Caenorhabditis elegans: one gene and its partners. The protein of the gene in region 3 purifies or fractionates together with the protein of the main gene of each other region. This does not show direct contact. Each region holds a gene or a part of one and is shown on either strand. Other genes may lie near its edges.

Evidence for each region. The genes of interacting proteins can lie anywhere in the genome.
Region 1: the proteins of attf-2 (region 3) and ctsa-1.1 fractionate together in Caenorhabditis elegans (co-fractionation; one large-scale study listed by BioGRID). This does not show direct contact.
Region 2: the proteins of attf-2 (region 3) and Y38E10A.22 purify together in Caenorhabditis elegans (affinity purification with mass spectrometry, with the first as the bait; one large-scale study listed by BioGRID). This does not show direct contact.

What each region holds. Positions count from the first base shown.
Region 1 is NC_003280.10:4,735,588-4,740,759, forward strand, and holds ctsa-1.1 (Serine carboxypeptidase ctsa-1.1), read left to right. Parts: upstream 1-2,060; 5' UTR 2,061-2,062; coding exon 2,063-2,208; intron 2,209-2,475; coding exon 2,476-3,262; intron 3,263-3,596; coding exon 3,597-3,736; intron 3,737-3,788; coding exon 3,789-4,125; 3' UTR 4,126-4,215; downstream 4,216-5,172. Other genes in the region: F41C3.7 (WD_REPEATS_REGION domain-containing protein), read left to right, coding at 1-16, 67-208, 253-353, 404-529, 575-647, 1,023-1,097; eas-1 (putative Golgi transport protein 1), read left to right, coding at 4,860-4,890, 4,938-5,029, 5,075-5,172.
Region 2 is NC_003280.10:12,671,347-12,679,711, reverse strand, and holds Y38E10A.22 (Armadillo-type protein), read left to right. Parts: upstream 1-1,908; 5' UTR 1,909-1,913; coding exon 1,914-2,039; intron 2,040-2,087; coding exon 2,088-2,330; coding exon of another isoform or gene 2,331-2,342; exon of another isoform or gene 2,343-2,509; intron 2,510-3,522; coding exon 3,523-3,856; intron 3,857-4,866; coding exon 4,867-5,017; intron 5,018-5,944; coding exon 5,945-6,377; 3' UTR 6,378-7,442; downstream 7,443-8,365. Other genes in the region: Y38E10A.33 (Nodule Cysteine-Rich (NCR) secreted peptide), read left to right, coding at 121-186, 235-297; Y38E10A.24 (Complex I-B12), read right to left, coding at 384-452, 539-676; rgs-4 (RGS domain-containing protein), read right to left, coding at 8,089-8,226.
Region 3 is NC_003283.11:7,193,025-7,198,239, reverse strand, and holds attf-2 (AT hook Transcription Factor family), read left to right. Parts: upstream 1-2,102; 5' UTR 2,103-2,104; coding exon 2,105-2,186; intron 2,187-2,232; coding exon 2,233-2,321; intron 2,322-2,370; coding exon 2,371-2,505; intron 2,506-2,838; coding exon 2,839-3,432; intron 3,433-3,479; coding exon 3,480-3,662; intron 3,663-3,714; coding exon 3,715-3,879; 3' UTR 3,880-4,474; downstream 4,475-5,215. Other genes in the region: F09G2.2 (Protein CNPPD1), read right to left, coding at 1-399, 577-699, 752-1,077, 1,222-1,324; putative phospholipase D F09G2.8, read left to right, coding at 5,017-5,205.

The sequences.
Region 1 (5,172 bases), on a different chromosome or scaffold from region 3:
TGGAGAATCAGGAAAAGTTGGTTTTTAATAGGGAAACAGAGATATATTGTAAAAATGTATATTCAGAATTTTCGAGTGCTCTCCACTACTGAATCCAATCTCTTCTAGCTTCGTAATTGAAAATCGAATTTATGTGCTATCGAACAAGTTTATCTCTAGCTTCACATCAGATTCTCCACTGGATTACGAGAACTATGAGACAGAAAAAGTCATTTTGGCAATTCTAGCGGAAATTAGCAATTATATTTTCAGACTATCACAACTGGAGATATTGGAAAATTTGGAGAAGATCGGCTCATGATTTTTGATAAGTTTTCTCAAACTTGTTTTGTCTGGGAAAAAGATAAACCAAAGTATGCAATTTAATTGAGCTTCAATTTTTAAAGAAACAGTTTTTTTTCAGAAATCCATCTCATCAACTTTGCTTTGGATCGTCTGAATATACAGTAGACGTGGCTTGCGACGAGGAGAATTTGTACTCCTTAACTTCTGCCGGCGTAGTTTCAGTTTGGAAATTGAAACCTAATGGGTATGCAGTTGCAGTCTTTGTTTACACGGTACTAAAATTTTTTAGAAGAAAATATCGAGATCAACTATTCACAACATACCTGAACCATTGCACAAAACTACTTTTAACATATTCTCAGGTATGAAACAAAGAAAATAATAAGCATATAACATGATTTCTGGGTATACAAAACACACGTTAAATGGAAGATCAGATTTTGAATATAAAAATTGGTTTTTAAAATCTGCCAAACACGGTCCCAGATTCTAAAAACATTTATCTTTCATTTAACGTTTGTTTTGTCTTACAAAAAATTGGCCAATTAATCTCTTTCTATATCAATTGAACAAATAAGGGAAATTCAATCCATGACGAGAGTCACTCAGAAAACAGCCTGTGCCTTTGAACTGACGCCCCAATTTTTTTAAAACGAAATCAGGATCCACAACTCTAAACGTTTTTTTTCATGGTTTCTGGCCACCTGGCGATCACCTAAAATGTTTTCTTTTTTCAGAAGTTTGTGATTCTCACCAACTCGGAAGTTCACTTTGTGGTGTTTGGCATTGACTCGACCAGTGGCCAACAGTGATCGGTGCCAGCCTCTACCGATCCTCATTCAATTGACCCCAATCCATCACTCGCCTGCTTAAAAACCCGCCGTTGCTCACAAATATTTTCTCTTATCTTCATTTCTTTGCAAAAATGATTGTCTCGTTTTCTTCTCCACAATCTTTTTGATATAAATTGATTTATTGAATGTTGATCGCGTTGCGTGTTGTAATATTGGCTCCTTCAGCATGGCGTGAGAGAAATAAAGAATTTAAATCAGAAAAGATAAAAAAGTTTCTGGAAGAAATGTTCTATTGAACAGGTAAAAATGAGACAACCAAAATTGACTGCGCCGCAAAATTTTTTGAAAGAGTTTCGTTAATAAAAAATCGGAAAATCTGGAAATATTTCGTTTCTTGTTCTGACTTTGGCAAGTTGGCAAAAATAGAAATTTCAGAGGCCAGAGCAATAACGTTTTTTGAGAATTTTTCATAAGGTCTCATTACGACATTCGATAGTTTTGAGCCATTTCAAGTCTAAAAATGTGTCAGATTTCCGTACTCCACCTGTTGCCTACCTGCCTTAAAGCGGACTCTAACTAACTAGTACCTGCTTCCAATAGGAAAGCTAAGAAAGACCTTTAAACTTGCCCACATTTAGTACTCTACGACTACAAAAAATAGACAATTTAAATTTCCTGAAGCTGGTTCTCCCCTGCCTCACAGAAATTTATAGAGTACACGATGGCACTAGTCGTTTGATCTCTATCTTATCAAAATCAAATCTTTTTTTTTTCAAATTCAAATCTTGTGCACAACCATCTCCCCAATCTTCACAGATCCACATTGTCCTCAAATTGTCCTTTGCCTTCTTCTGGCTCCGCCCCTATGGGACAGTCGAGACTCCGCCTCCTTCTCTCCAATGTCTCAGACAAACATCACAAGATATCTGTTTTTCTTTCTTGTCATGTTCCATGCTCAACCTCTAATTCATTGAATTTCAGGTATGAAAACCCTTCTGCTTCTCGCCTTCTTCGTCGGGGTGACCTGTGGAGAAGAGATCAAGGATTTGCCAGGATTGGACTTTGAGCCGAATTTCAAGCATTATTCCGGATTCTTCCAAGTTTCGGATAACCATGTGCTTCATTATTGGTGAGTATGAAGGACAGAAGTTAGCCTAAAAAGTGCAAACTAGCATGAAAGTAAAAAAAGTCTTGTACCTTTTCAATTTTTCGTCGATCGAAAGGTTGTTTGAAACAGTGTTCAAGGTGTGAAATAGGTTCAGAAGCTTACACAACGAAAATCTTACACAACAAATCTTACACGAAAATCTTACAACTTACACAACGAAAATCTTTTGAATGCGAGCTTGCCTTCATACCGGCTTGTCTAATAAATCATCCTAAATCATTATTCCAGGTTCGTCGAATCCCAAAACGAGCCATCCAACGACCCACTGATCTTCTGGTTCAACGGAGGACCAGGATGCTCTTCCTTGGACGGACTTCTCAATGAAATGGGACCATATGTTGCCAATGAAGATGGAAAGACTCTTCGTGAAAACGAGTACTCATGGAACAAAATGGCTTCAGTTGTCTATATTGAGTCTCCAGCTGGAGTTGGTTACTCGTATGCCACTGATGGAAACATCACAACCAACGATGATTTGACTTCTCTTGAGAACTACGAAGCTGTCAAACAATTCTTCACTGAATTCCCACAATTCCGTCATCATCAGACATTCATTATGGGAGAGTCTTATGGAGGAGTTTATGTTCCAACTCTTACCGCAAGAATTGTTGATGGACAAAAGGACTTCCCAATTAACTTGAAAGGAATGGCACTTGGAAATGGATATGTTAATGAGAAGCTTAACATTGATACCTCTGTCAGATTTGCTTATGGACACGGACTTATTGATGAGAAGATCTGGAATACTCTTGAGAGAGATTGCTGCAGAGGATGCATTGATTCATGTGATTTGACTCAAGTCACCGGACACTGTGCAACTCTCGTTGAGGACATCTTCCAATTCTTGTGGTTCGGAGGATTGAATCCATATGATTTGTACAGAGATTGTGATCCAAATCCATCAGTGAACAGCAAGAGAATGAAGCACATGTTGAGAGGAGTTGCTCCAGCAATGGCCCATTTTGATGAGCTCTTGAAAAATCAAACAAAGACTTCCCTTTATCAATTTTTGAAAGTATGTGGGGTAGCAGCAATGGGAAAATGTAAAAATATCATTGGAAAACTTTTCAGAAAATTTTTCAGTACTCAGTTTTCACCTAGTGTCACGGTAGGTGTCACGGTCATGAGATCATTATCAGCAGTTTTTTTTTTTGAAAACTTTGAAAATTGTTTTGTGAACGAAACCCTGCAAGGATTATATTCAAACAATTTTTTTGCCATCCAAGTAAAAAAAATTAAAATAGGAAAAAGGTTATAGAATTTTTTTTGGTCAAATTGCATATTTAAAACTTTTTTAATTTGATCAATAATTACCACCATAGCAGTCACTTCATATTTGTATCTTTCAGAACAAATCTCAATCCCAAAAGCCACTTAAGGCTGATGTTCCATGCCTCAACGATACTGAGATGCTCTCCTATATGAACAATCCAAAGGTTCGTAAGGCAATCCACATTCCATTCAATCTTGGAAAATGGGATATCTGCAGGTGAGCCTGAGCCAAAGAGCCCAAGCCCAGAGATCAAAACAAAAATTTTCAGTGACAAGGTGACTACTACCTACCAGAAGCAGTACACCGATATGACTCCATTCATCAAGAAGATCGTCAAGAACCACGTCAGAGTTCTTTTGTACTATGGAGATACTGATATGGCCTGCAACTTTATGATGGGACAGCAATTCTCTGATCAACTTGGACTTCGTAGAACACTTAAAAAGACTCCATGGAAGTATGATAGACAAATCGCCGGATTCAAGACACTTTTCGATGGGCTCAGTTTCATCACTATTCGCGGAGCTGGACATATGGCTCCACAATGGAGAGCTCCACAAATGTACTACGCCGTTCAACAGTTCCTGAATAATCATCCACTTTAAATTTGGAGAACAAATAATATTTTTATCTTCTTATTTATTTTTCAATCTATTGGTCAATTTTCCAAGTTTTGAATAATGAAATTTGATTTTTAAATTTTGTGATTTTCGAATACACTGAAATATTTTTCAGAAAGCTTCCAAATAACTGTAATCGGTTTACTCATATGACGTTTGGATTAAAATTTCAAGTAATTTCGATTAATAAAACTGATGTTCTACTTATTAATACGTTGTACCTTTGGAAATAGTCAATAAATAATTGGAAAGTCTTGTTTGTTCGAAAAAATATCGATTTGAAATCTCAAAAATGCCTTTTGTGGCACTTCCAACCAACATAGTTACTTTTTGTCCAATTTCTCAATAAAAATCGTATTAATTGAGCGAAAATACTACGAATTCAAAAGTTTACCATTCAAATTTAAATTTTCCTTTTTCCCGCCGATTTTCGCTACTTCGGCCATGTGCGAGTTTCTAGGCCACGCGGAAATGCACGGCGGCCACGTGGTCCGCAATTTTACGTACACGTCATTTCCGCGGAATTTCCAGTTTTATTTTCCGATTTTTCGCTTAAATTTTTCAATTCGAGATAAAATCAGTTTCATTTGCTAAAAAGAAACGCAAATTTATTTCAAAAAATCAATAATCTTCTTCTATTTGTTTTTCTATGACCGATTCTTTTGAGAATTTAATTTTTTTCAGCCGTTTAAAAGAGAAACCACTTGGGTCCAGTCAAAATGATGAATTTCGAAGTAAGCACAACAAAACGTAAGTTTGAAAATCAGAAAATATATGTAAACTGTGAAACATTTCAGAAATCGGAGTGGGGTTAACGACGTTCGGCTTCTTTTTCATATTTCTCGGAGTGCTGATGTTCCTTGATTCTGCTCTTTTAGCTATCGGAAATGTAAGTATTTATTGTAAATTTAAAGCATAAAATTATTATTTTCAGCTTCTATTCATTGTTGGAATCACATTTATTATCGGCGTGCAGCGAACACTTGTTTTCTTCTTCGAATTCCGAAAACTGAAAGGAAGCATTCTCTTCTT
Region 2 (8,365 bases), on a different chromosome or scaffold from region 3:
TGAAAACAAACATTCCCTTGAATATAACGTGAAAAATTGCTTTAAACATTCATTTCCTGCTAGAAAAACACTCGGGAAATAAATTTCTCCGCTGTTTTATCTATTTTTGCAATTTTCCTCATGATAACGCCTACAATTTCATTCGGTTTTTGCTGGGAATCTCTATGCAATATTCTTTTCTACTCGGTGAGTGCTTTCATCCGATTTTAGCAAGTTTCGATCTAAAATTTTCAGTTTTGCCCCACTCAACGTGTCATTTGCTCGGAGAAAAGCATTTGTGAATGTGCTGAAGCATAATAAAATGTTTAAAATTTTTCTTTATGACTAAAAATCGAGAAAAAACACAGGAAATCGCTAAATTAAGCATCTAGTCGGCGGGATTTTCAGTATTTCCAGGCGTCGGTGTGTGCTGGAAGCTGCTTGAGTCGATCCGCGTACATTTTTGAGTGACCCTGAAACAAAAATCAATTGGTTTTATGGATTTTTAGGTTAAAATATGCTAAAAATTGAATTTTCAGCACGATTTCAGCACGCTTACCTTCATCATCTCGGCCTTATTGTATCCGGCGCTCTCCCAGCAGCGGGCGAAATAGGCGACGGCCAACGTGGCAGTCCAAAGGCCTCTTTTGTCCCAAAAAGCGTTCTTGAGGAAATATGTGGCGGTGAAGGTACCCATTCTGCAAAAAAACTGGCATTTTTTAAAAGAAAACTCGGAGAAATACAGAAAATCAAGAGAAATTAAGGGAAAATCAGCAATTTTAGGGATTTTTTATTGAAAAATCATTATTTTCCTATAGAAACTAAATTTCAGATGAAAAAATGAAGAACTGACTCTAAAAATCTTAAAATCCACGTAATTTTCATTTAATTCATTTTCAATAACTTTCACTTTAACGCCTATTAAACGTGAATTATAGGTGAAAAATAACGTATTTTATCAATATTTCAATAAAGAAAAATAAGAAAAAATCAATAAAATCCCGAAAAATCGATTAAAAACCGGCAGAAAATAAATTCGACGACAAATAAAATGTGAGACAACGACGCTCCGATATTTCGGTGGCGCGTGTTGTTTAGCAGTTTGTGAAAAGGGTGGTTTTTCAAATAGGGGTTTTGTGGAAATAGTTTTTGTTAGGTTTTCCAAGCGAAAAATAATGGTTTAATCATTGGAAAATTGAATGAATCGACTGTGAACAACTCCTCAACAAATTTCAATAGATAAGCTCTTGCAAAGTTTTAAAAAGTAAAACCAGCGTCCACTTCAAGCGGTCAAAACCAAAATCAAAACCTTCAAATTTTTACTATATAAATCCAAAAAAGATTACTTGGAGGTATGGGGAATCGAACCCCAGACTTCTCGCATGCAAAGCGAGCGCTCTACCCCTGAGCTATACCCCCATATTCTGCTTGATTGCAATAGGAAAAGAGGAGTCTACGGGTGTAACGAAAGCGAGTAAATCTTGAATTGATGCGTTTTCCTGTTAGATTATCATTGAACCACTCCTTCAGGGTTGAATTTGTCTTTCTGCATTCAGGTTTACCTCGAATTCTTGAATTTCGGCCTGTTTTTCTCTTTTAAAATCAATCATAATTAAATCAAATTGTCAGGGACTAACTTCCCAACTGCAACAACCACGCTCCATTGATAACAATTCTAGGCCATCACTCATTTTTTGAATTAATTTCCCGATTTTTCTCGAATGTTTTCAGCATGTTTTTGCGGAATCTTTCTGGAATTCTTGAAAAATTCTTTTGAAATCGTTAAATATGAAAAATTAGGTTCATTTTAACATAAAAACCGTAATTTTCTGTCGATTTTTCAGCGGGAAAATCGAAAATCTCGCTTTTTAAAAAGCTTTTTATCACGTTTTTCTTCAAAATAATCCCAAAAATGTCGTTTTTTTTCAGTAAAAATGGCTGCATCTGCTGAAGATATCGCGTGGAAGAAGCTTCTCGACATGGCAACCGCCCACAGTTCAAAAAATACGGAAAAATCGGCAGAAGCCTCGGAAGATACCGCTCCAGTGTACTCTCGTGAGGTGATAATTGATTTTTAAATTTAAATTTTTAGTTTTAATTATTTCCAGAATCTCGAATTTCTCCAAAAAGCGATGACTCACTCATTCGGTGGAGATATGGAGCAGGGACCGTCCGTCATTCAAAAATTCTTCCATTTCGGCGATGAGAACCCGGAGAAGGTCGTTATGACCCCGGCGTTGTTGGCTGCGGCGAAGGAATTGGCCGATCAGCTTGATGATTACCTTATAATGGGCAACTTCTCGGAGCATTTCATTGCTGAGGGCGGCCTCAAGGCTCTCGCCAATCTCACTGTGCGTATTTAAGCAAAAAAAAGTGAAAAATTGCTTTAAAACATGCCTATGGAGTCACAATGACCGAATATCATGAGAAAAAATAAAAAAAATGTTTCTAGATTTTATATGATTAAAATCTCAATTTTCCCCTTATTCCTATTTGAATTACCACCAATTGGATTCGTTCGTTGGAGCGCGCTTGCACGTTTTTAAATTTATTTATTTATTTTATTTATTTCTCATATCAGTGTATTTTTGCTTGAAATTTGAAGAAAAAACCAAGATAAATTCAAATTTTCGATTAAAAAGCACGCTGACAGGCGTAAATCTGTGAAATGAATTAATTCAGGTTTGAAATCGTTTAAAATCGTTACTTTGTAATTTTTACGCCTGTAAGCGTGCTTTTTAATCGAAAATTTGCATTTATTTTGACTTTTTCTCTAAAATTCGAGCAAAAATACACCGAAAGCATTAAAAATCGGTGGAAATAACAAAAAATTAAAATAAATAAATTTAAAAACGTGCAAGCGCGCTCCATCGAACGAATCAAATTGGCGGAAATTCAAATAGGAATTAGGGGAAAACTGAGAGTTTTTCAATTTTCAAAAAATCATATAAAATCTAGAAAATTTTTTTGATTTTTTTAACCATGATATTCGGTCATTGTGGTACCATATGCGTGTTTTAAATCAATTTCTGTGCTGACGCTTTTCCCACTTCGTGGGAAAATTGCTTTAAAACATGCCTATGGGGTCACAATGACCTAATATCACAGTAAAAAATTAAAAAAAATAAACAAGAAAAATGTTAATTCAAGTTGTTCATTAAAAAATAACTGAAAATTCCTATTTTTTTTCCTAAGGCGCGTGGTCGTTGGCATTTTCAGTGATTTTTTAATGAACAATTTGCATTTTTCTTGTTAATTTCTTTCTCTTTCCGATTAAAAAACCCCAAAAAATGACAATAAATAAAATAAATTAATTAAAATAATGCAAGCGCGCTCCATCGAACAAATTCAATTGGCGGAAATTCAAATAGGGAATTAGGTGGAAAACTGAGATTTTTTCAATTTTCAAAAAATCATATAAAATCTAGAAAATTTTTTTGAATTTTTTACTATGATATTTGGTCATCGTGACCCCATAGGCATGTTTTAAAGCAATTTCCCCACAAAGTGTAGTTTGAATAAAAATTTAAATTTTTTTTCCAGATGTCACCAGACGAAGATCTGCGTCTCCTCTACCTCCGTCTCATCCCACAACTCGCCGAAAACCGCCCGGAATTCCAACAGGCAATCGCCGATTCTCCACTTTTCACAGCATACATGAAGCTGCTCAAACGTCAAGCCGAACTGAGCCCCCGAATTCTTTCAGCACTGCTCTCGGCGATTTCCTCCATCGTTCGGTCTCACTTGCCGGCTTATTTGAAGTTTCAGGCCAAGAATGGGCTCACGGCCACTGAGAAGCTTATTCAGAGCACGAAAGACCATAAAAATGCTGTAAAGGCTGGCCGTATGATCGTCAGTTTCCTGTATACACTTACTGGTACGGAAATTGCGGAAATTTTCAATCAAAATGGAAAAAAAAAGAAAAAATCCCTTTTTTCTTAATTTTCAAGAAAATTTGGTTTTTTAAAATCAAAATCTTTGTGAAAAATACAATTTTCCAGTCGGGAAATTGCTTTAAAACATGCCTATGGGGTCACAATGATCGAATATCATGATTAAAAAATTCCAAAATTCAAAAATTTTTCTGAATTTTATATGATTTTTTTTTTTGAAAATTAAAAAAATCTCAGTTTTTCACCTAATTCCTATTTGGATTTCCGCCAATTGGATTCGTTCGTTGGAGCGCGCTTGCATTATTTTTATTTATTTATTTTATTTATTCTCATTATTTCACTGATTTTCTTCATTTTTTTTTGTGTTTTTAATGGAAATTGAATCTTTAAAAACAAGATGAATGCAGAATATTTGTTAAAAAGTCACTGAAAATTCCTAAAACTTGAAAATAGTATATTTTACAGTTTTACGCATTTTCAATGAATTTTTAACAAAAATTCTGCGTTTATCTTGTTTTTAAAAATTCAGTTTCCGATAAAAACACAACAAAAAAATTGAAGAAAATCAGTGAAATAATGAGAATAAATAAAATAAATTAATGAAAATAATGCAAGCGCGCTCCATCGAACAAATCCAATTGGCGGAAATTCAAATAGAAATTGGGGAAAACTGTGATTTTTTCAATTTTCAAAAAATCATATAAAATCTAGAAAATTTTTTTGAATTTTTGGAATTTTTTAAATCATGATATTCGGTCATTGTGACCCCATAGGCATGTTTTAAAGCAATTTCCCGACTGGAAAATTGTATTTTTCACAAAGATTTTGATTTTCTTTTCTTTTTTTCCAAATTTTCTTTATTTTTCAAGAAAATTTGGGTTTTGAAAATCAAAATCTTTGTGAAAATTTCAATTTTTCAGCCTTAAAATTGCCAAAAAAAAAAATCCCAAATCACGATTTTCAGTCAAAAAAAACCCCCCGGTTTTTTTTGCAGATCTCCAGGGAATCGATGAAATTACTGAAGAAATTAAGAATAGTATTCTTAAAATCTATACTCTCCTGGATGGACGTTCAAGATTTGTGGATCGGGCCGATGATAGTGAAGAAACGAAGGAGTTCTATGAGGAAACTATGAAAATGATCAAGTATGGAGGTTTTTTTTCGATGGAAAATTGAGAAAAAAATGGGCTTTTTTTACCTTAAAACTGCTGAATTTTGGATATTTGGCTGGAATTGTGCGGAAATTTGCAATTTTTGTTCAATTTCCCCCTGAAAATTGTCCGAGAAAAACTGAAAAATCCAAAAAAAATTTTCTAAAATTTTACTAAAAAACTTAATTTTTCTGATATTAAAAATAATTAATTTTTTTATAAATTCTCCAAAAAATCGTGTTTTCTTCTAATTTTCTACAGAAATCTTTATTTTTCTGAATTTCTTTAAAAAATCTCACCTCTTTCGGAAATTTTACAAAAAGTGATGATTTTTCCAAAAATCAAATTATTTTTGTTGAGTTTTCTGCAAATTTTCAAAAAAAAAAAATTTGAAATTCTACAAAAAATTATGTTTTTTTTCTGAAAAATGGAAAAAAATTGAAATTTTTCCAAAATTCTTTGAAAAATCTAGATTTTTATGAAATTTTTCAAAATTTTTTTTTGTTTTTCTGATAGTAGGCATAATTTTTTATAAAAAATAAATTCGGCAAAAAATGTTTTTTTCTAATTTTTTAATAATCTTAATTTTTTCTGAAATTCTTTCTTCTCGATTTTTAAGAAATTCTTGTATAAAAACCATATTTTTCTGAAATCCCAAAAAAATTTTTTTTTCCGAAATCCTATAAAAAAATCTGAAGTTTTGTAGAAATAAATTTTAAAAATTCTCATTTTTCTGAAATTTTTCAAAAAATCGTTTAAAAAATTGGGCGGAACCTCTAAAAATCACGCCCATAAAATGGACGATACAAATTCGGATTTTTCTAAAAATTTTTTTTTAAAAATCGATTTTTTACCTAAAAATTCAAAAATATGCTCGAAAATCGATTTTCCCGCCAAAAATTCAAAAAATGTTTTTTCCAGATTCGAAATCATGCAAATGCACCCGGACATTATTACACCACAAACGAGAAAACTGCTCGAGGAGCACTTCAAAGAATCCAATCTTCGAGCAGGCCTGATGCCAATTGGTGGATGGCCGGTTATTCCAAAAAACGAGTGGCCACAGCCACCACAGCCACCCTGTCATAAAGCCAATAAGAATGCGGAGCCAAAAAAGGAGCCGGAGCCAGCGAAGAAGGTTGCTCCAAAGCAGGAGACAAAAGTAGATCAAGAAGCGGCAGAATTGGCGCGAAAAATTCAAATCGAGGAGGATAAAACTCGAAAACGCCACGAGATCGTCGCCAGATTCTCCATTTTGGACATTTACACGAAGGAAGAGCTCGCCGAGAAGCTCAAGTTGGACGCCGAGATGGAGATGGCTGAAGCTCAGAAGGTTCTGAAGGAGATTCGCTGAAAAGAAGAACATTTGTCTTTTTTTTTGTAATTTTTTCAAAGAATTTAAGAAAATTGAGCTTTTTTAAAAAATCTCAGAAAATTAGATTTTTTTTTTGGAAAATTTTAGAATTTTTGTAGAAAATTGTTTAAAAAACTATTTTTTTTGTTGTAAAATTCGCAGAAAAATCAAAAAAAATGCAGAATTTCAGAAAAAAATTTTTTTTCAGAAAAATCAGGTTTTTTTTGTAAAATTCTTAAAATTAAGGCTTTTCTAAAAATTTCAGAAAAAAATTTTTTTGTTTGAAAAATTTTAGAAAAATCTAGATTTTTATGAATTCTTCAAGCAAAAAATTATTTTTTTTTCTGAAATTTTCAGAAAAGCCTTAATTTTTAGAATTCTACAAAAAATCCTGATTTTTCTGATTGAAAAAAAAACATTTCTAATTTTTTTTCTGATATTCTTTTAAAAAATCTCAATCTTTCTGAAATTCTTTTGTTTTCCCCTAATTTCCATATTGCCACATGTCATTTGATCCCGGATAATTGTGAATACCGCCCGTCAAATCTATTTATTTACGCCCAAAAATTACATTTTGGCGCCCAATTTCAAAACTTTTTTCCAGGTTAAACTATCGGAGAGAACCATTTTCAACTGTAACCCAAAAAAAATTTCCTGAAAAATTAAGTGCGACGGAGCGCTTTTGACCTATGCAAGCACGTGGTGTCAGGAACTTAGGGTGCCCCATTTCGGCTTTATCTACTCTGATCTACAAAAAATGCGGGAAAAGAGACGCAGAGTTTGCTGACGTCACATTTTTTTGGCGAAAAAATTCCCGCATTTTTTGTAGATCAAACCGTAATGGGACAGTCTAGCAGCACGTGTGCACAAGTGCAATCGCGCTCTATTGAACAATAGCATCAGCGGCGATGGAAAAATCAATAAATCAAATTTTTCATTTTTTGGAATTTTTGGTCAAATTAATTCAATATAGGGGAATAATGGGCGATTGGGTCCACGTGGCATCACTAGATTTACTACGTTTGTTTGTTTTTTCAAAATAAAATTAGGGGAAATATCGGAAATATCGATTTTTAGGGCTTAAAAAGTGGGGAAACGTGGAAAATCAGGGTGTGGCTAACCCGTCTTTCAGGGTTTAAAACAGTCTTGTTTTTTAAAGGGAAATAGTGCCAGGCTGTCCCATAACGGTTTGATCTACAAAAAATGCGGGAATTTTTTGCCCAGTTGAGAACTCTGCGTCTCTTCTCCCGCATTTTTTGTAGTGATCTACGTAGATCAAACCGAAATGAGACACTCTGACACCACGTGAGATGGGCGATTCGTAGAAACTTTGGGACCGGGCAAGCGCGCTCTATTGAGAAATTTGAAAAAAAAAACACCAATTTTCTGTGAAAAACGTCGATTTTCAATGATTTTATGTGAAAATTCAACTTTTTAACCTAAGTTTTCACTGAAATTTGCCAGAAAAATTGAATTTTCAGTGATTTCAGCGTGAAATTCTCAATGGAGCGCGTTTGAGCAGCCGGGTTTCGACGATTCGCTCGAATTCGGGGACGGGGACGGAGATCGATGCGGTGATTTGGAAGAGAGCGATTTTCGCAGAAATCTGGAATAAAATGAGCGATGACGAGATGGAGAGAGTGTGCGCGGTGAGGAGGGCTGAGACGACGAGAGAAACGAGCCGCCGCCGCCGGTGCCGCTTGCCACGTCATCAGTTGGTTGCGGCCGCCTGTGCTGTCGGGCCGCCCGGTTGCAGTCGGATACAGTTGAACCGAAATGTCTGTGGAAGTGACAGCTTCTTTGCCACGTCCTTGTAGGCGTTTGTGTGCACGAAGCGGGAGAAACAGTCCTGAAAAATGACAAAAATTGATAATTTGAAAAAAAAAATCGATAATTGCAAAAAATCGATAATTTCTAAAGTTACACGGATTTCTTGCTTCCCTCATAAATTGAAATGGAACAGTTTAGGCCGAACTTGGCCATTTTTG
Region 3 (5,215 bases):
GAATATTTCAAAACTCTGGCGGTAACACGAGAGATATGGGGAAAGGGCGAGTCGAAATTTATCGATGGCTCGGCGAGCAGATTCAAATGGACATAAATCGGTTGATGTCCCATTCTCCTTCTCGAACTCGACGTCTTCTTCGACTGTCCACTCGTTTTCATCGAATTCGAAACCAAACTCGGTGGTGCTAGGATGGGATCTGGTTCGTGGCGACAGGAAGACTGGCGAGAAAGTCTGATTGTTGTCTTTTGGTGAAGTGACGTCAGCTGAGGTCGATGGCTCGGAAACAGTGGACAAGGTAGTCGACATCAACGCGAGAGTCAAGCAGTAGATAAGAGATGTGGAGCTGATGAATTCAATCAATTGCTTGACGATGTCCATAATAGGAACCATTGACGACTGAAAATAATGAAATAACGATATTAAAGATTAGGTTTTCCGAAAAAAAAAATTGAAAAAAAAATCAAATTTGTCAATCAAAATTTTTTTATATTTTATGTAGAAAAACCAGAATGTGAGTATTTTTTCCTACATTATTTCAATTTTTCAGTGATTTATAAAATAAAGATATCTCACCAATTGCAAAAGCTCATTGTATGTCATAAACCCGTTCTTCTCTACAAATGATCCAGCCACCCATTTCTCCATATTGTCTAGATAATTTTCAAATTCGTCGTTCTTCACAGCTACGTTCCAATCCTGAAAAAAAATTTTCATTGATGAAAACTTGCGGATGAAAAAAAAAACATACGAGATTTTTTACTAAATTCCATTCCTTCGCATTCAGATCTTCCGGTGTCATTTTCAGTGATTCAGCCCATTCTGAGTTAGAAACGCGGTCGTAGGTATCAGCATCGTGCATATACTTCGAGGCGAGAACGAGAGCAGGTACATACAGGGAAACCGGGTCAGTAGATTCGAAAAAAGCCTTTTTCTGAACTCGTAGACGATCCAAATAGACAAGGGCGACTACGAGTGTGCACGGGTCAGCGTAGCCACATTTTGAAATCATTGCCGATGTGTTAGGTTCCATGTAATCGAAGGTGGATGTTTTGTCGAAATAGTCTACCACAAGTTCTGTAAAATTTTAAACTATGGTTATTTTCGTACCGCAGCATTGTTTTATTTGATTAAATAATGTTCAAAAGCTGAAACATTTTGAGAAAAATTTATATTTCAATGAATAAACTTTTTTATTTTGACATTTTTTTTTTAACTTACGAGATAGTGGATAATTCAGTGACGCCGGCTGTTTTGTTCCGTAGTTGAGCGAACGCTTCATCCTTTTTCGCATCTTGCGGAAATCGGGAAATAGCGGAGCCATCTGAAAGTTGTTCAAATAGAAATGAAGATAAAAGTAAGATCGGTGAGAATGTAAAAACACGAAAAAAAAATCTGTAATCGAGGAAGAGAGTTGTCACGTGAATTGTATAAAATTTGTGTTCGAGTCGATCACTTTTTGATCGAAAAAACAGCGATTGGAGGGGGGAAACAGGGAAGAGTTGCGGCAGAGAAGAGACCATAAATCGGCAACGGCATCAATGGCTGAGTATCGCACACAATGATGAGCAGAGTCGCTACGCAGACACGCGACGCGTTTACCCTGCGTCGCGGTCACCATTGCAAAACCTCCCGCCAAAATAAATTTCGAATTTTGACACTCTTGATTCGACTAAATTAGTGCGCCAAATAAATGAATGTTTATTTTTTAGAACAATACTCGTTTTTTTCTAAAATATTCATTAAAAAATATGTAAATTTTAAGCATTTAGGTTGACGAATGGTCCTAAATTTTCCTAAATTCCTAAATTTGTATTTCACAGCTTTGAAATTAAGTTTTATTCAGTAGAGATAGGTTTTTCAAACAAAGATGGTAGTTATTTCTTTACCTTAGCTCTAAATCACTAATATTGTCGTAGAAAATCAATTATTCAGCATCAAATTATTAAGGTTTGTTGAGTACATACAGTATGATCGCTTTGAAATTGCATGCAAATATTATCCACAGTTTTCTTTTCGAATCGTACCTACATTTTTCCTTATTTTAACGATTATTATCTCTTTTCGTGTTATGCTTTTTTGCTCACATCATCATTTTTCAGTCATGTCGGCCGAAACTGCAACCATACCCGAGGTTTCAAACCAGGAAACCAAAGCTGAAAAGGTTATTGCTGATTCCCTTGAAGGTAAACTAAAACAATGCCATTTTTTGAAACTAAACTTAATTTTCAGCAAAGAAAGATGAAAGCGCAGCAGTCGAAATCAACGGTAGTTCTACCCACGAAAATGGCGACACGAACATTGAGAAGAAAACAGAAGAGGTTCGGTTATGAGGATCAGATGCAGTTTTTATAATTCTTTACTTTTCAGCCAGTCGTTGAAGCTAAAGTGTCGGAAGAGCCAGCCACTACATCAGAGACCCCTGCTGCTCAAGTCACCGAAAGTCAGAAGGATGAGAAAACAGATGATGCTCCAGCTGAACCTGCAGAAGTTGCCGTCGAGGCGGTTAGTTTTTTTTGAAATTTAAATATCAAGTATGAAATTTGTTTACGTCATTTCTAAATATGTATTTATCAGTTAGTTCAAGAAACGACAGAGTATAACTTTTTAATTAAACGTATTTTACGACTTGCTGCGCGCGAGCAATGTTGTATCCATAGCAACAATGAGGCGATGGAAGCGAAAAGCTCAAAAATATATTAAATTTCGAAGAAAGAAAGTAAGAAAAGGTTTTTCCACATTATATGCATTATAAATTGGAAAGAATGAGAGCTGTTAGTTGTTTACTTTTCTAGAGAGTTGATGTTTGCCAAGCCAAGTTAAATTAAGATTTTTCAGGCTAAAGAGGAACCAGTTGTAGAAGAGAAGAAAGAGGATGCGCCTGAGCCTGTAGTCACCGAAGAGAAGAAATCAGAAGAGGCACCAGCACCGGAAGAAAAAAAATCGGAAGAGGTGGTCGCAGCTGAAGAGAAGAAAGAACCTGCTGCAGTAGTTGAAGAGAAAAAGGAAGTTCCAGAGACACCAGTCGTCGAAGACAAAAAAGAAGAAGCTCCAGCTTCTTCCGAAGAAAAGAAAGATGAGCCAGTTGTTAATACCGAAGAAAAGAAGGATGCCGCTGAAGCTCCTGCCGCAGACGAGGAATCAGAAGCTGCTGAAGAGAAAGTTGCCGAGACTACTGTAGCTCCAGTTGCTACACCTTCTGGGCGTGGACGTGGAAGAGGACGCGGAAGACCACCAGGACCAAATGCGACTCCAAAGGCTGCGGCTTCTGAGAAAAAGAGGGCTGCAAAGCCGAAGGCGGCGGTTAACCCAGAGTCAATCGCAGCCAGCAGACCACGTCGTTCAACATCGAACCGAATCGATTACGCAAACTCTGACACAAGCACTGTTCTCGCCGAAGTCGACGATGAAATTCCTGGAAAACTTTTCAGAGTGAGTTTCTTTGTGCTTATGGTCTATATAAATATTCATTTTTCCAGGGACGCAAGCCCCCACGGGGCAAGATCACAAAGTACGTCTCGGATTCTGACGGCGCACCATCGGATGAAGATGACGTTGACTTCGGAAAGAAGAAGAAAGGTGCTCCTTCTACTCGCGGAAGAGGACGTCCACCAAGCAGCAACAGACCAACTCGTGCTGCCGCCACAAAGAGATCTGCAAAGGTAATCGATCGTTTGAATATAATAATATTCTCAAAATTATCTTCTTTTTCAGGATGCTTCCGATGAGTCGAATGAGGATGAAATCGAATACGATGACAAAAGCGACGAAGATGTTTCTCCAAGAAAGAAGGCCAGAGGAGCACCTGCTAGAGCTGCTGCCGACGACGAAGATGATGAGGGAGAAGAAATGGACGCATCGGAGGAAGTTGAAGCCTAAATGGCTTAGGAAGTTTGTTATGTACTGGTGTTTCTATATCTCATTCTCCACTTCTTATTGCCAATTTTCAAAAGTAGGATGGTAGACTCCTATGGTTGCATTTTCATTTTTCCAAAAATTGCTATTTTTCTACGTTCTGTGAATGAGGTCTTTTCTAAATCAATCTCAACTTCTTCCCATCTCAATTTTTTTTCATCCTCTCTTCCCACATCATTATATATTTTTTTTAAGTATTTGAGTTACAACCAAACTGTTTGTATTAAAATATAACCATCCCCACTGTTGACAATTTATTTATCTTATTACCTCCTGAATTGTTTTCTAAAAAATTCAAAACTTCTCTACGTCGACTTTTAGAAATGAGCTTTTTTCAACGTAGAATCATGCTTTTCTCCCACTCTCTCAATGCTCACCCCTGGCTGAGTAAATATTTAAGAGTACTTGAATCGCAATTGATCTTCGTAAGCTTTTTTTCTAATTGAAACTCGACTGACGAGATTTTTCATCCAACAACTCCTATTTTATTCTCTGGCTCTCTTTTACATGTTTGAAAAACATTTAAATTGACATCTTGAAATAAATTGTTTTACCTGGCAAGTCTATATTTGTTTCTGAATCTTTTTTTGTAGAACAATTCCAAAAAGTAGTATATTTCGGTAAAGTTTATGAATAATTCGAACAAAAATTGAAGGATTCAGGTCAATGGTGAGTGGCAGAACATATTTGACGCCACACGAAAAGGAAGAAAACGGTGAAAGGAAAAACACGAGAATGGAGGTTTGTTTCGAGAGTTTCAGAAATTATAGTTCAAAAAGCTTTGCTCTGCTTTCGGCGGGGATAGGCGGCAGGGCTCTCGTGATTTCCAGCTGTAAGCAGCGAGAGCAAGTCTCGTCTGCTCAGTGCTCTCACTCCCAAAACAAAATAATTATTCAGAGAGGGCTCACACTCTCATATCTCTTTGCTATCTAAACACTTTGTGGCAGGGCTGTAGATTTTTCAGTTTTTTTTGTACTTTTGGACAAAACAATTCTTTTTCGCTTTTTCGATAAAAAAAAGTGTGCGAAAAAAGCGAACAACTTTTAAAACATCGAAACCTTCTCAAAAAACTTCTTCTCTGTTGCCCAAAGCCACTAACCGATGCCTCTGAGATTGATCAATTTCCGGCAACAACGGAGATGTCGACAGAGCCCATCAGTAGCTAGATTAGAGAGTATTGTGCTCAATCGAAGAGAGCTCCTGCTTGACCATTTTCAATATTCCTTGTTTCAAAATTCTTCAGAAATTCCAATGACAACTATTTTAATTAACGATCGACCTATGCGTCATGTAAGTTTTT